2 linked regions of the Lepisosteus oculatus genome follow. The protein of the gene in region 1 binds, or shares a complex with, the protein of each later gene. Links are inferred from orthologs where the notes say so. Each region holds a gene or a part of one and is shown on either strand. Other genes may lie near its edges. The genes, in order: rabggtb and ykt6.

Region 1 (7,306 bases):
AGATTATCAAAGAGTATTTATAAGTGGTTTAGAGTCGTTGTTGTTTTTCTACTGTAATTAGATTCACTGATAATGATACTGTACTCGTTCATTTTTCTTGAGCAAGTCGAACCAGTGACACACCCATTCCTATACAACAGAAAAGCACGTGTTAAACAGCAATGGGGGTCATGGCTAAACTTTACATACTGAAACACAAACGCTAAGGCGTGCAATAATATACTTATTTAGTAGGACAAAGGTTTTTCTAAAAACCTACCTGCCCTGCATGAGATTCTGAGCCCGGTCTACAGCCAAATCCTCCATCGAAATTCATGCAGAAAAGGACAAACTCCACTGCCTTGTCTACGTTAATGGTGTCCAGCTTGCCCTGAAAGACCAGTCATTCGCACTGAACGCTAAGCCAGAGGCACAGAGTAAAAAATGGCAGAATTAGAGCTAACAAACACCATCGTCTCATAAACAGACACTATGAAGTTTGTAAAGATGCTCTTACCAGCAAAGCCAGGGTTGCCACTGCACAGAAGGAAAACCTCGTATCTATCTCACCTAGAACAAAACAAGGACACAAATGTAACTAGAGACTCGATGTTCTTAACAGGAACCATCGAAATCACACAGGCTCTCATTGCAATGTTACGAGAGACAGCTCTGATCGGGGCTGTCCTGATCCCGAAGGGCTGGTGCACCTGCGGGTTTAAAAAGCCGGGCCCGAAGACCTCGGAGAAGCTGCTAAAGTCCTGGTTAAGCCAGTAACCAGCTGTGTCGGCTCTTCAGGATCTGAGCTGGACTAGAAACCTACAGGCACACTAGCCCTCCAGGACCAGGACTGGACACCGCTGTCTGAGATGAATGACAAATGTCACAAGCTGAGTAAAACGAGAGGGTAACAAACACTAGACATATATAATGCATTAATAATGAAGATTTAAATTGGATAATTACAGGAAGGGATAACTTAGCATATATAGGCTTTTTCATCTGACTTTTATACAAATAAACATTTCTCACAAGTCTGCTAGTGCTAGAGAAGAGGACTTTTTTGCTGTCAGCAGAGGGAAACAGGTAGTTCAGCATACAAATAATTCCACTGCTTTAATGTGCTGAAGTATAAAACATTTTAAGAAACACTTGGACTATCGACTAGCAGCACACATTCAAATAAATGACACCTAAAACAATCCACTCACCCCATTTGTCCCCAGCAAAAGATCCATCCTCCTGTTGTAACCCTTTCACGTATTCAACCACTTTATCCACATCGATCACAGAGAGACTATCATACAGAGAGAGAATCTGAAAAACACCAGAAAAACGGTGAACACAGAAATCCAAGATACGCAAATGCGACAATTAGCTATTTTGAAATAAAAGGGGAATATCTCTTTCTTTGAGTGTAAGACTTAAAAACTCACAAGATAAATTTAAAATATTAGGTTAAATTAACCTCTCATAGAAAACAGGTGAAGAGATTAAACGTGTTTGACTGGAAGACTGACACTATTTCAACAGCCTGTCTACACCAGGTTTATGCCAGGAACTGTTTTTTCTAGACACAAAGCAGCAATGAGAATCACACCATTTGGTCTTTTAATTTTTCATATTAAAGAGAGAAAGAGATGGGCACTATCATGCTTCAAGGTAGAAAACAGATTTCATCTAAGCTTTTTTAAAAAGAAATTGTTAGGCACACAGCAAGTTGGTCACCAAATGCACTTATCAAAATGAATCTCGAATCGGTTGGTTAAACCTAGAGGGGAAAAAAAACAACAACCTCTTTAAGAGTTGTACCTGAACAGCACTGAGAGTATAGAGCAGGTGAGGGTCATGTCCTATACTGGCACTGATTCCTCCACTCTCATGCTGGCACTGCTTGACAAATTCTATAATCTCGTCCTCGTTCATCCGATGCAGCTGCCCCATCAGATCCATTACCGTCAGACCCCAGTAGATGCCGCTCATGCGCAGGTATTCCGACAGGGTGTACTCCTGGTGGAGACGGGAGAGATCCGAAACAACAACACAAAAATCAACACTGAAAAAGCGACCAGGAGGTCTTTAATAAATGCCACCTCCTAGGTATCCACTTTTGCGGATGACCAGTGAGAGTAAAAAGCGTTATCATCTGTTCTCATTTCTGGAAGGACAAACATACGGATTTACGGAAAAAGAAGTCAGTTTCACTCACTAAATCACAAGCTTAGCCGCCGTTTGGGTTGGACTCACCAAGACTGAGAAAACACTGGAAGGGTTTCAGAGAGGTATGGCTGTTTTAGAGGGTTTCTAAACTTTTTGCCCTTCTTTAAAAGACGATACACTCTTTCAAAAACAAAAACGCAATTTCAGCTTCTGATGATTTGCTGTAATAAACCACTGCCTCTTAAATCATGAAGAGCTAGATTCATTCCTGCTGTTAAAGCAGCACCTGAAAATGCTACTCGCTTAAATGCTTCTGTGTTTTAAAGTACAGATCTAATTACTGGATCATGAAGGAAAGAGTAAAAGAAAGTGTGCCCTTTGTCACTTGTGCAGATACATACATAGTCGTCCTTCTTGGTACCATAAGCTGCGATATAGTCTGCATGTTTGTCCAACAGAAGCACACTTGGAGCATCAGGCTTTATAACGACATCTTTAACTTGAGTGCCCTGGAATAACGCAGAGGATTAGTAAAGGGAACCCACAGACATTTTCAAACAAAGAGCGATTTTTAAAACAATATACAGTAATGTGCATTTTTTAGGAACATGTCATTATTTTTATTGTATTGTAATTATTACATGTAAAGCAAGTATTAATTTACTACAGAAATCAGATAAGCTTACTTTACAAGGAACTATGTGTGTGGACTTTACAGTTTCTCTTTTATAAGAAGAAAACCTTCTGGACTTAAATACTACACAATTCTCCTTATTTAGTGAAAAAAAAATCATTTTTAATTTCTTAATTTTTATTTCCTTCAAATGAACTATATTTGAGGGACACTGAAGGATAAAATGAGTCAATAAACATATTACAATTATTTAGGATTTAAAATTGCAATGGCTTACCTTAATGATACATAAATAACTACTGAGGTGATGGGGGGTTATTGCATTTTTATACAAGAAAAATGTACATTTCTGTGAATGACTATAGATACACACTGACTGACCTGATTAGGAACACAACAAGTTTGTGCACAGTCATTTCCTAGAGAAACAAAAATATTGGCACAACACAGATGATACATCGTTTTGTTCTTGTGAGCAATCAGCTCCTAATCTTTAAATTAAATAGTTACAATGAAATGACACATCTCTTCATATTTTTATAACTTTTTTTTTAGACAACCTACAAGTACTGGAAACAAACACACCCTTACATGCGGTTTTTGACATGTTTGATCATGTGTTTGGAACACCCCATGACAAGTGCCACTTAAATCCTTAACCGTCTTTTACAGGATGGGGATATTACGTGGGATGGAACTGAATGCACTGATTTAACGCGTTACTCGATTAATTCCACTGAGAAATCAGACTGAAGCGGTTTAAGGTCACAAGGTATTGTTCATCAACACTAAAACTGTCCAAAAACAAACAGTTACATGTGGAATTAGACAGACGGACAAAGTGACATGCCCCCCCAAGACACTGCACTGAGCATCAAAATAAGTATTATTTACAACTGCGATAAATTCGCAATGGTATCGGAAAAAAACCCACAGAAAAAGACAGCCTTTTCTGCAGCACGTACACGTTTATATGAACACATATGAAAATGTCCACTGGCTAAGCCGAATACTGACTGGTGTTGCTCTAACTTTTCAACATGTTTTTTTTGTTCAGATTGTTAGACGGACCAACTGTCAGAAAACGGTTTTTGTTGTAGCACAATTCCCGATGCTCACCGCTTAAATTATCCATTACGTATCCCTAAACCACTCCTCTAAAAACATACTTAACGTACGAGTTTTTAATCTCCTAAAACGATGTCTTACGACCAATAATGCGGAACATCGAAATACACCAAACGTCCTGTATGACAAAGGGAAAAGATTCAACGTCTAGTTACGCATCACTCCAGATGCCATTAAATTCCGACAGGGATATGTTTGCGGACAAGCACATTAGCTTCTGTTAAATGACAGATGTTATTCTATTTTTTAATGCAGTCAAAGCGTTACCAGGTTAAGAAACGGCTCACATTCGCGATTAGCTGTCAGGCATTTAAACCTTTATAAAATTGCAGGATTTAAATTCATTTCTATTCACGGTCTAACAGCTTTTTGCTCTGGGACATGTCACTTCTATTTGCAGTGTGCTTAAAACGTGTACAGAACGGTAGGTAGACATTATTATTTCATATGACAAATGCCTCTGTTTCATCCTTGAAATATACACATATACATATAAGAAAACAAAATATGTAGACCGATGAACAGCACCTACCATTCTTGGGTGATGTCCCTGAATCGCGTCCCACAATAACTACGTCATAAAACAAAGCCTGCCCAAATCTTCGCCGGAGGAGGGTGGTAATTATATAAGTTTTCTGTTTAAAGAAATCCTCGCTCTATAAAAAGATTAATGAATACAGAAATTACGACTACTACTGAGTTTCACAGTTCACATGTGTGACAGCACAGTCTGAAGCAATTTAATCGTCAAATACAGTATTTGGAAACTGCTTATTTGCATCCGCCATCTTGGCTCTGTAAAACGCCTTTAGATACCAACTTATCTGTCGCCACATATCTACACATTAAACTCAAATCGAAACTTCCCACGTGTGTGTCTACTGTTAAGCGCGATCACAGTACAAACTGCTTTTCCCAGTTGGCATTTTTCTCAGAAAAATTCTGAAAGGGCAGTTGTAGTTCAATTAGAAGTTCCTCATGTGCTCGTTGTGCCTTTTGGCTTGGGGTTTGCAGAGAGACAAAGTACTAAAACAGCCTTTGTTAAGGTAATTAATGATTTTCTGATAACATTCAGATCTACCAGGAGACCAAATCAAATACCACTGTGCTTTCTGCACTTCACAGGTGTCTCTATGATGTTCAGATATGGGTGCAACAGAACTATTCTGGGCTTGACTGTGTCAAGACTGAGTTTAGGCTCATATGATCCCAACATCTCTGCAACAACTAAAAGTATTCTGCATCAGCACCTAAATCCTGTACCACATAAATTGCATTGTCTATATGTGGAATTTAGTGTGAACAAAAAGGTTCTCATGCTCATATATAGGGCACTGAAATATCTTTTAAGTGTTGGTTAAATGAGCAAACTATTACTCTTTAGAATATACCTTACAAACAAGGGAAGGCCGGACTAGCCAATGTGGAGACGTAATCTCAATAGATCTGATGATTCGGGGTGTCTACAGTATGTCTGCTGAAGACCAAGCTGTAAGCAAAGGGCAACAGAGTCATCGTGGAGGACGTGCTGCCCAAATGCATTACTCTTCAGCTGCTGACTTTTCTAGACCTCTCTTGCAGACCTGTCTGTTCACTACAGCTTTCAGCATGAAATTTAAAACTGAATCAGTTTGTTGTTCTTTTCCTCTTTACCTTTTCTTCTGGTATCTGTATTATATGTGCATTTGTACAGCTTGTTCTTGAATAAATAAAACATCATTATCACTCATTGAGCTCTCAGTTACACAGCTGTCGATCGACTATATAACTGTTAATAATTCTAACCGGGCTTGATGGTGTTTTATAGGTAACTGTGCTTCTACTGAGCTGCATTTCAGCACTCAGCCATGAAAGACTTTGAGCTGAGTTTAACACCACTGGCTTACAGCAGGAAATTTTTTCCAGGCTTCTCTCAGCCCAGTACTGACCAGATCCATCCTTGCTCAGGATCTGAGACGTGACAAAATCAGTCTCCTTTGTGGCAAAATTCAACCTAAGAAGTCTATTTTCTACAGAGCAAACAAATGCCATGAACTCAAACTTGCTCACTTAGCAAACAAAACATGCTACACTAGATTTGTACAATTTAGCGTTAATTTACACAACTAACAGTGGTGGAATTGAAACTATTTCCTTCGTGTTAGTAGGAACATTCCTCTGAGCATCAGCAATATCCTGTAGAATTGGTACAGTATCTACCCAAAGGCAAACAAACACACCCAGGACAATCCAGATGTGTGCTTCCCCATTAAAGATACATAAAAACATTGTAAAAAAAACCCAACCAGAAAACTTTAATATATAACATCCTTTTTATTTCAGCTTTGCAAAAATTAGTTCCCAAATGCAGCTCTTATCTTTGATAACAGTATATAAAGGCTTTTAAAGGCTTCAGGTTACCATTTTCTAAGGCTCACGTATTGTGTCATAGGCACCAATTTATTTAAAATATGGAAGGCAAAGAACGTACTTGCATTGATAGTCGTTGATACTCTACATACAGGACATAAAATTATAACAAAGGGAAGACTGTTACAGGAAAAAAGTGCAATCACTGTTTGTATTTTCCAATGTGTTCACGAGCAATGATCATCCTCTGGACCTGAGCTGTACCTTCATAGATCTGAAAAAGAAAATAATGTTGATTAAAATCTCTCACAATCAGTGAGCCAACATTTTTTATTAAAAAAAACAATCTGAAAAACGAATGTATATACATCAATGACACCACACATTTTAATCCCATGAACATTAGAAAGGTGGGTAAAAAGGAGAGGAGGCATTTGACCCATCTAGATTGTTTGGCTGTTAGTAGCCACAGATCTCATCCAGCAGTTTCTGGAAAGAAGTCAGGGTATTAGACATCAGCAACATGGCTGGGTATCGTGTTCAATCATCTCACAGCCCTTTGGGTAAAGGAGTGTCTCCTGTTATCAGTTTTAAATGCATTTCCACAGAACGCCTCTGGTTCACGATTCGCTGTTCACTCCGTAAATGTCCACTGGCTTGACTCTGCCAGGGTCTCTGAGGATTTTGAATACTTGTATCAGGTCCACATGTGACATTTTCTAGTAGAACTGAACTAAGAAGGTTCAGTTCCTCAGTCTGTCAGTGCAGGACATTCCCTGAGGTCCTGAATGCATCTGGTTGATCTTTGCTGGACTGAATCCAGAGCAGCAATATCTTTTCTATAACATGGTGACTGAAATTGGAAACATTATGGTAAATGAGGCCTACAGGGGGGTTATACTTTCATCATAACATCCGTAAAACCTTTGCTTTTAATTCACTTTGTTCCCTTTTTCAAAAGCTTCCCCACGTTGTCTAGAAGATGTAAATGTGTCAACATAAACATCTTACTCAGTGTTTCCCAGTTTGTATTTAGTGTTGCTACCTGCAGGTAAA
Region 2 (7,247 bases), on another chromosome or scaffold:
GCTCATAATACATAATATACATATATAGGTACTGTACATATATGGTTTGTTGCTGCAGTTGTATAATATAGAGATCTAATTTTGATTTGAATGGGCATTCGCGTGTATCATCTTATATATTATCCACAAGTGTTTTTTACAGTGTCTTTTTTATTTAGTCGGCAACGTTAAATTGGTTATTATTCACAAATAACTACAGCAATAAAATTTGCTGATGACATGATCATAATCTGATAACCTGTTCTCACCCAGCAAAGGTACAATGCTGCTGAACAACCCAAGAAGTTGGTTTATGATTAAAATCACATTTTGAGGATCAACAAAGTTTAAAGCGGGAAACAAACATATATAAATGTACTCTTAAGCAGTTATGAGGAAACACTCTAAGTGAAGGTAATTGAAGTTAATTAAGAAATATACTAAGTGAAGGTAATTACGTTTTGGGCTGTTTTACAAAATAGGAACTTCGGAAGGTGACGTCAGGGATTTATATACCCTCTCATTGGGCGTATCAGTTAATCGCCGTTATCAGGCTAAATATTTTGAAATAACAAGCAATTCAAGGGGAAGACTGATTTAATCTTACCTTCTCCATAATATGAGGATCCATCGTACTTCCCCCACCGGTCATGAGTGCTACTGTCCAGGGGCTCGCTTGCGTCTAGTCGGGCGACCACTCCGGGTGAACAATGAGGCTGGGTGCCGTTGACAGATGGATACCTTCCCCGAAAATAACTACACCAAAAGGCTCATAATTAAAGCTGTTTTTGTAAGGAGGGATATGGACATGGAGTTTAATCAGAGCTCCAATTTCCGTTTGTCACGATAGTCTATTATTACATTTCCCCCAGTTTTTTTTAGAAAATGTTGATTACCTGTTTATCCCTGCTTCCGAAAACTACCCTTCCTCCTTAGTCTATCTGCCAAGATGGGCAAATTCACCTTGCATTTTGTATAAGGCTTCGCTGAGTTGGAAGTGATACAGTACAACAGCGGGAATATCCATGTGTTTATTCATGTTCACCAACCCTAAGTACTTTCACCAATTTGTACCCTTCCAAGCTTCTCAGAAAAGTGAGCCTTTCTTTAAGGATTAGTTTTAGTGTCCATGTTCAAAGCACTTCTGTTCTTTTATACTGTATGTGGTGCGTAAGCATCTTAGTGTTTTGTAAAGCAAAAAGTTTCCTACAGTATTAGAACTGCGCTCTACAACACCTTGAAAGCGCAAGTTTAAATTCAAGACCCCAGTGTCTTAAATACGGGACGGGAAGTTGTCGTCTGAGTAAAAGTCATCCTTTCCGTTGCCTCTCAAAGATCATTTTAATCGCATTCCATACTCGTGCCAGTCGAGACATTGGGCTTCATCGTGGTAGCAGAATATTTCAAAAAGTTTTTTTAAAAAATTTTAATTTAACCAAGACAACTTGGCATCTCTCTCCAGAGTGCAAAAACACCAACAATTCAACTCCAACTCGACATCGTTTATTTTCACCCTAAGATTTTCAAGGAAATATTAAAAAAAATCAAATTGAACTAAGATGTATTATTAAAAATCTAAACGAAAAGAAAGCGAGCATTGATCATTTTAGTCCCGTGATAGTTGCGCGCTTTAAACACGGGTGATCAATTTAACAATTCTTAGAATCCTTTCACGTGGCATATTACTCTATCTTTAAGTTCTTCTTGTTTAAATTAGCAATATATTTCCACCCTAATTTTATAAGTCCCAAGAGGGACGTACTTGCATTGATTTGATTTTAATTGGTCAGAAAGCGCGCAGACAGGACACGGTTATCCATCATCCCTCCCGTTTCCCCGGTTCTTCATTCTGTTTCCCTGGCAATCGAGAAATAAAAAACGACCCTATTGGTCTCTACTAAAAGCACTCGCACTGCCATTGCTGCCACAACCACCAGGTGCTTTACAGAGCAGTCATCCTTCCCGTTGCCTTGGCGACAACATTCTGAATCCGTTGCCCTGGAAATCTCTCCATATATGCTCACCTCTGGTATGGAAAACACTTATCAATGAAGCGAGTGGACAGTAGGAAATTGTTAAATGGGGCAAAATTACTTAGGAAAACATTGGCTTAGCTGCAAAGTCCTCAATTGCGTGGCTCCCACTCAAGCTTGACTGTTCATCAGTAAAGGACACGGAGCGATCAATACAGCGAAAGGCTGAGATCATTTCGCTCCGGCAATTTTGGGCATCGCAAAAGCTGGCAGAGGTATTAGGCTCTGGGATTGGGTGGGAGAAGTGAGAGGAGGAACTGCAGCTTTGTCAAAAAGTTGATTTCTACACGGCCAGACCCTGAATACTCGTCATCAGCGGAGCAATTCGGAGATAAGATCAAAAATCCAGCAGCCATATCACCCTGCAACTCACAACTGGCAACCCACTGAAGCTAAGCAGGTGTGAGCCTGGTCAGTACCTGGATGGGAGACCTCCTGGGAAAAACTAAGGTTTCTGCTGGAAGAGGTGTTAGTGGGGCCAGCAGGGGGCACTCACCCTGCGGTCCATGTGGGTGCTAATGCCCCGGTATAGTGACGGGGACACTATACTGTAAACAGGCGCCGTCCTTCGGATGAGACGTAAAACCGAGGTCCTGACTCTCTGTGGTCATTAAAAATCCCAGGGCGCTTTTCGAAAAGAGTAGGGGTGTAACCCCGGTGTCCTGGCCAAATTTCCCCCCTGGCCTTTACCCCATCATGGCCTCCTAATAATCCCCCTCTATGAATTGGCTACATTACTCTGCTCTCCTCCCCACTGATAGCTGATGTGTGGTGAGCGTTCTGGCGCACTATGGCTGCCGTCGCATCATCCAGGTGGATGCTGCACATTGGTGGTGGTGGAGGGGAGACCCCATTACCTGTAAAGCGCTTTGAGTGGAGTGTCCAGAAAAGCGCTATATAAGTGTAAGCAATTATTATTATTATTATTATTATTAAAAACAACTCTAAGATCCTCCCGCTTCTACATAAAAACCCTGCTGCTTATATCACGTGTTTTCCCCATATTCTACAGAGGATGAACAAGGAAACCTAATTTAGGATAATACATAACATAAGCCTATTAAAATTCACTAAACACATTCTCAATTCTAAAAGTCACAAGCAGATTTTCTGACATATTAATCTATTGACTAAAAATGAATCGGAACGTGTATGAACGAACCTATTGATAAACAACAACCTTTGGTCACACTAGGACACCGACATTATGGTAAAATCTGCTAAAGCTGTTGACATCAAACTATGATCAGAAAACGTGATTGAGTTATTAACGTACTGCAGTCTTTCGAGTTTGATCAAATCAAACAAGTACATTTTCAGATAGACTTAGTAAATAAAAAAATATTCTGCAAATCTTTAAAAACGTTGTGCATGTTTGAACTATCTGGGAAATATTCTCGATTTTCACAAATGTTGCAATGTTTCCTGTTATCCCTGGTGAGCCGAATTAAGAAGTGTCACAAATCTTTACGATTCTTTACGATACAGCGCCATCTAGTGACATAGCACTCGGTATTTGCTTGCACTGGAAAAATAAGCCATTCTGTTTTATTATTTTGTTTTAAGAAAGGGAAAGCTCAAATATGAAAGGACAACAGGCGTGTTACAAAGCTTTCTCAATAAAGAGGGTTAATTGTCAATATTCAATTTTTCCAAACGAGTCCAATTATAATTTCAGAATTATTTCACATCATAATACATTCCGATATTCTACAACGAGTTTAATTCGGAATTGCTTGTATGACTTTATTTTAAGTCGAAATTTATAATGGATGGACAGGCGCAACAAAGCGAATACTTTATTTGTAAAACTCCCTATAAAATCCAGTGTTTTGCAACATTCAAAACGAAAATACGATTCCCAAGGCCAGTTCTCGTTGAAGTAAAATCATTTCTTTCAGATGTACATATTAGGTATTATAAGAAGAAATTACTTTTGTAAAAGCAAAGCATAACGTTCATTTTCGAAGGGTCCTGAAAATTGATGCGTCTTCCCTGAGGTGCAGACCCACTTAACTCTAGGCACGGATCATGAGAGGCTCGTGTTGCACGCCGGGGGTGTTTGAAGGTAGGACCTAATTCCGCCGGAGTTGAGTGACGTGGTTCGGGGGAAGAAAGAGAAAGGGAGTTTCTTTCGGTGTTGTCTGGATCTCAGTCTCCTTTCGGAGGGTAGCTTTACAGTTCGGATTCGTCATTACGTTCAGTGCTATTTTTCTTTTTCCTCCATACCTTCAGTAGAGGAATCGACACATTTCTGCCTTGACGTGGCTGTTGGAGCTATAATACGAGTGGTCTCTAATCGTCTGAAGAGAAGCAACAGAGTAATTGGTAAGAGGAACTAAACTAATCCTTCCCCAAAACAGTAGTGTTAATAGGGAGAAACAGATGCCCGAGATTAAATCGGAGACAATAAGATGATTAAATAGTGGCAGTATTAAGTATTCCCTATGAATATATACTTATATCGCCGCTTGATCAAGACCAACTGAGTGTGTTCAGTAGTAAGTCGATGCCGTTAATAAGTATTGTTGAGAGTAAATCTAAAACACGAGACTCTGGTAACACGGAAATAACAGCCCCATTTCATATCCTTGAACTTTTGCCATTTAACGTAATGTAATGATAATTTAAATTGGACGTTATTGGTCAGGAAAATGTTGGGAGACGTAATCGTTTTATTTGTGAGAAAGTCCGTGGCTATTTTGTCTTTTGCATTTGCCGTTTAATACCACAAGGACAGCTGGTGCAAAGAGCAAATACCTGCAGCATCTCATACGCTTGTTTTAAGTCAGGAAAGGTGACGTTTCGTGAGCAGCCTGGAAGCGTAACAGTCCGACTGCGACATCACCGGTAAAACAATAATTGTAAAAAAAATTGATTACATCTTTCAGTGAAAAGCAGTGATGAATACCACTCTCAATACAACACAACACCGTAGTTCACGGTAAATAAGTGGTCAGTATCAGTGCATTCGGATTAAGAAGTTCGCTTTTCTGAAAGGACTTTCCCAATCAGCTCATGGCGTGCCTTGCAGCAAAGAAAAAAACTTCCCATGAAATTGACATTGATATTTCACTGGTGTGGCCGACAAGCAGCACCTCTTTAGTGTCATTGCAACTTTGTTTTACTATGATTGTTTACAATATATTTAAAAAGAATGTACATCTATGGGAGTATTGTGACTCTTTTATGTTTGGTCTTCTTGGCTGAAATAGACTGTTGCTCTCCAGATGAAGGAAACGTAGTCTTTCTGGTGGTGGTGGGGATTACTGGTCAGTGAGGGAAGACGTGCTGCTCTGTACTGGTTTGCTGTGTCTCGGTGTGTTTCAGAGCTTCTGGGACGCCCAGGTGATTCCAAGTGTGAGTCATAATGAAGCTTTACAGCCTGAGTGTCCTCTATAAAGGGGCAACCAAAGCCAACCTGCTCAAAGGTGCCTATGATTTATCCTCCTTCAGCTTCTTCCAGAGGTCCAGGTAAGTTCGTGCCTTTTCCCAGCGGCGTTTTGCTGTAGTGATTGAATGAAAAAATTGGCAGTCCAGTTACTGTGAATATGTCCTTCCAAACCATGTGACCTCTGTCTCACTCATGTTGTCAGTGTAAACTGACAGAGAGTCACAGGCCAAGATATAATGTGAGTTTCTCTTCTGGAGCCAGGTTCTTGTAATTCCTGGTTCAGGGAAATCGACGGTTTCACTTGAAGGGTCTAAAGCAATTGGACCCTTCCAATTAAAATAATTTTAAATGAGTTCAAGCCCAATAGTTTTGCAATTTTATCTTAAGCAATCAATTTTATTGGTGAATTTAAAAAGGCCACATGCAAAAATCCTATCTTGAGAATTAGTCTAGGAAGAATGTGATTCTGGGAGAACATATGAAATCAGTTTTTTTGTATGCTTATGTAATGGGTAGGACATTCCTACATATTGTTTGTAACTGCACAGTTTAGCATTGAACAGGAAATAAGGCAGAAAAAAAACATAATATCCATTCAGAATGTAATGCAAGATTAATCACATTCTTTATTTGTGTTGTAGCAGCAAAAGATTTGTGTACAGCAAATGTGGACCAGCGGGTATGGTTTGAAATTTCTGACACTGTAGGGCATTGAATAAAAAAAAACCCTTAAGGGGTTAAGGTTTTGCACTTAATCCAACTCATTGCTTGGTTTCTATGGAAACGAAGCTGAGTGAGAATCCCACAGCTTCAGCTTCAACAGCTGTTTCACACATCACACATTAGCAGACACGTGTTGTCACTCAACAAAAACAGTCATACACTCGAGCAGTCTGCGATTTCTATATGTAAAAAATATCTAAGAAAGGCATGAGTTCATTTTCATACTGAACAACCTAGAGATAATTATGTGTCTGTGTGTATGTTAATCCTGGCTTGGTTTGATGCGTAAAATACTCAACAGTCTGAAATCTTAATTTCATAGTTGTTCTGTTGTGATTTAGCATCTACGTTTCAGCTAGCAAACACTTTCTCAATTTCTTAAGCAATAACAAGTTACAAACTACTGACTGAAGAGAAAAATAATTTTTAGTTTTATTTTCATGAAACGGAGCTAAACTTGAATGTGACTGATTCTTGAAAGGGATTTGGTGGGTGAGAAGAACCAAGCTAATAGTGTTGTAGATTATGTGGGAACAACATAAGGGTACTGACAGTCAGCAGAAGCCTAAATTAGTCAGCACGAAGTAAACAAAATAAGTTTCCTTCTTTCCTTCTGATTTTGCTTCATATTTCGTTTTCTGATTTATTATTTGGTGTTTAGAATTTGATTTTGCAATAGTTTATTTTATGGCTATAGTTTAACAGCAATTCTCAAAGATGACCTTTGCAAAGCAAAGATTGTGGGATTAATGACTTGAACTACTGATAAAACAGTACACAACCACAGATTTGCAAATGTATCTTAAACAATCACATTTATTGGAAAGTTTAAAAAGGCCACATGCAGAAGTGCTATCTTGAGAATTACTCTAGGAAGAATGTGGTTTTGGGAGAACATATCAAATCATTTTTTTGTATACCTATGCAATGGGTAACACATTTCTAAGAATTGTTTGTAATTGTTATAACCAAGTTATTTCAAGTGTTATACTGAAACTGTCCTTGACTTACAAATGGCTTAAGGAAGTTTGTTTTATTTTAAATGGCTCATAACAGATTTCAGAGAGCAAAAGTGTGTAATAACCCTTGCTCATTACAGCATCTTATATCCAAATCTT

What was found.
Region 2: the proteins of rabggtb (region 1) and ykt6 are in contact, whole or in part, in a crystal structure (PDB 6J7F), measured with the Homo sapiens proteins. The link is inferred for Lepisosteus oculatus from reciprocal best matches to the Homo sapiens genes RABGGTB and YKT6. Residues at the interface, in NP_004573.2 of Homo sapiens: Thr3, Pro4, Gln5, Lys6, Asp7, Ile9, Lys11, Tyr37, Leu45, Trp52, Leu236, Asp238, Cys240, Arg281, Gly283, Asp284, Met285, Asp287, Phe289, His290; in NP_006546.1 of Homo sapiens: Lys60, Gln62, Asp63, Leu65, Asn83, Glu84, Tyr85, Pro86, Ser87, Leu153, Asn155, Thr156, Glu158, Arg189, Lys190, Cys194, Cys195.

The regions. Positions count from the first base shown.
Region 1 is NC_090704.1:4,133,761-4,141,066, forward strand, and holds the start of rabggtb (geranylgeranyl transferase type-2 subunit beta), read right to left. Parts: upstream 3,248-7,306; 5' UTR 3,233-3,247; coding exon 3,155-3,232; intron 2,649-3,154; coding exon 2,541-2,648; intron 1,990-2,540; coding exon 1,792-1,989; intron 1,297-1,791; coding exon 1,191-1,296; intron 550-1,190; coding exon 497-549; intron 371-496; coding exon 260-370; intron 1-259. Other genes in the region: acadm (medium-chain specific acyl-CoA dehydrogenase, mitochondrial), read right to left, coding at 6,453-6,524. UniProt on the Homo sapiens protein: Catalyzes the transfer of a geranylgeranyl moiety from geranylgeranyl diphosphate to both cysteines of Rab proteins with the C-terminal sequence -XXCC, -XCXC and -CCXX, such as RAB1A, RAB3A, RAB5A and RAB7A.
Region 2 is NC_090697.1:70,414,219-70,421,465, reverse strand, and holds the start of ykt6 (synaptobrevin homolog YKT6), read left to right. Parts: upstream 1-4,098; 5' UTR 4,099-4,340; intron 4,341-5,342; 5' UTR 5,343-5,382; coding exon 5,383-5,486; intron 5,487-7,247. UniProt on the Homo sapiens protein: Vesicular soluble NSF attachment protein receptor (v-SNARE) mediating vesicle docking and fusion to a specific acceptor cellular compartment. Functions in endoplasmic reticulum to Golgi transport; as part of a SNARE complex composed of GOSR1, GOSR2 and STX5.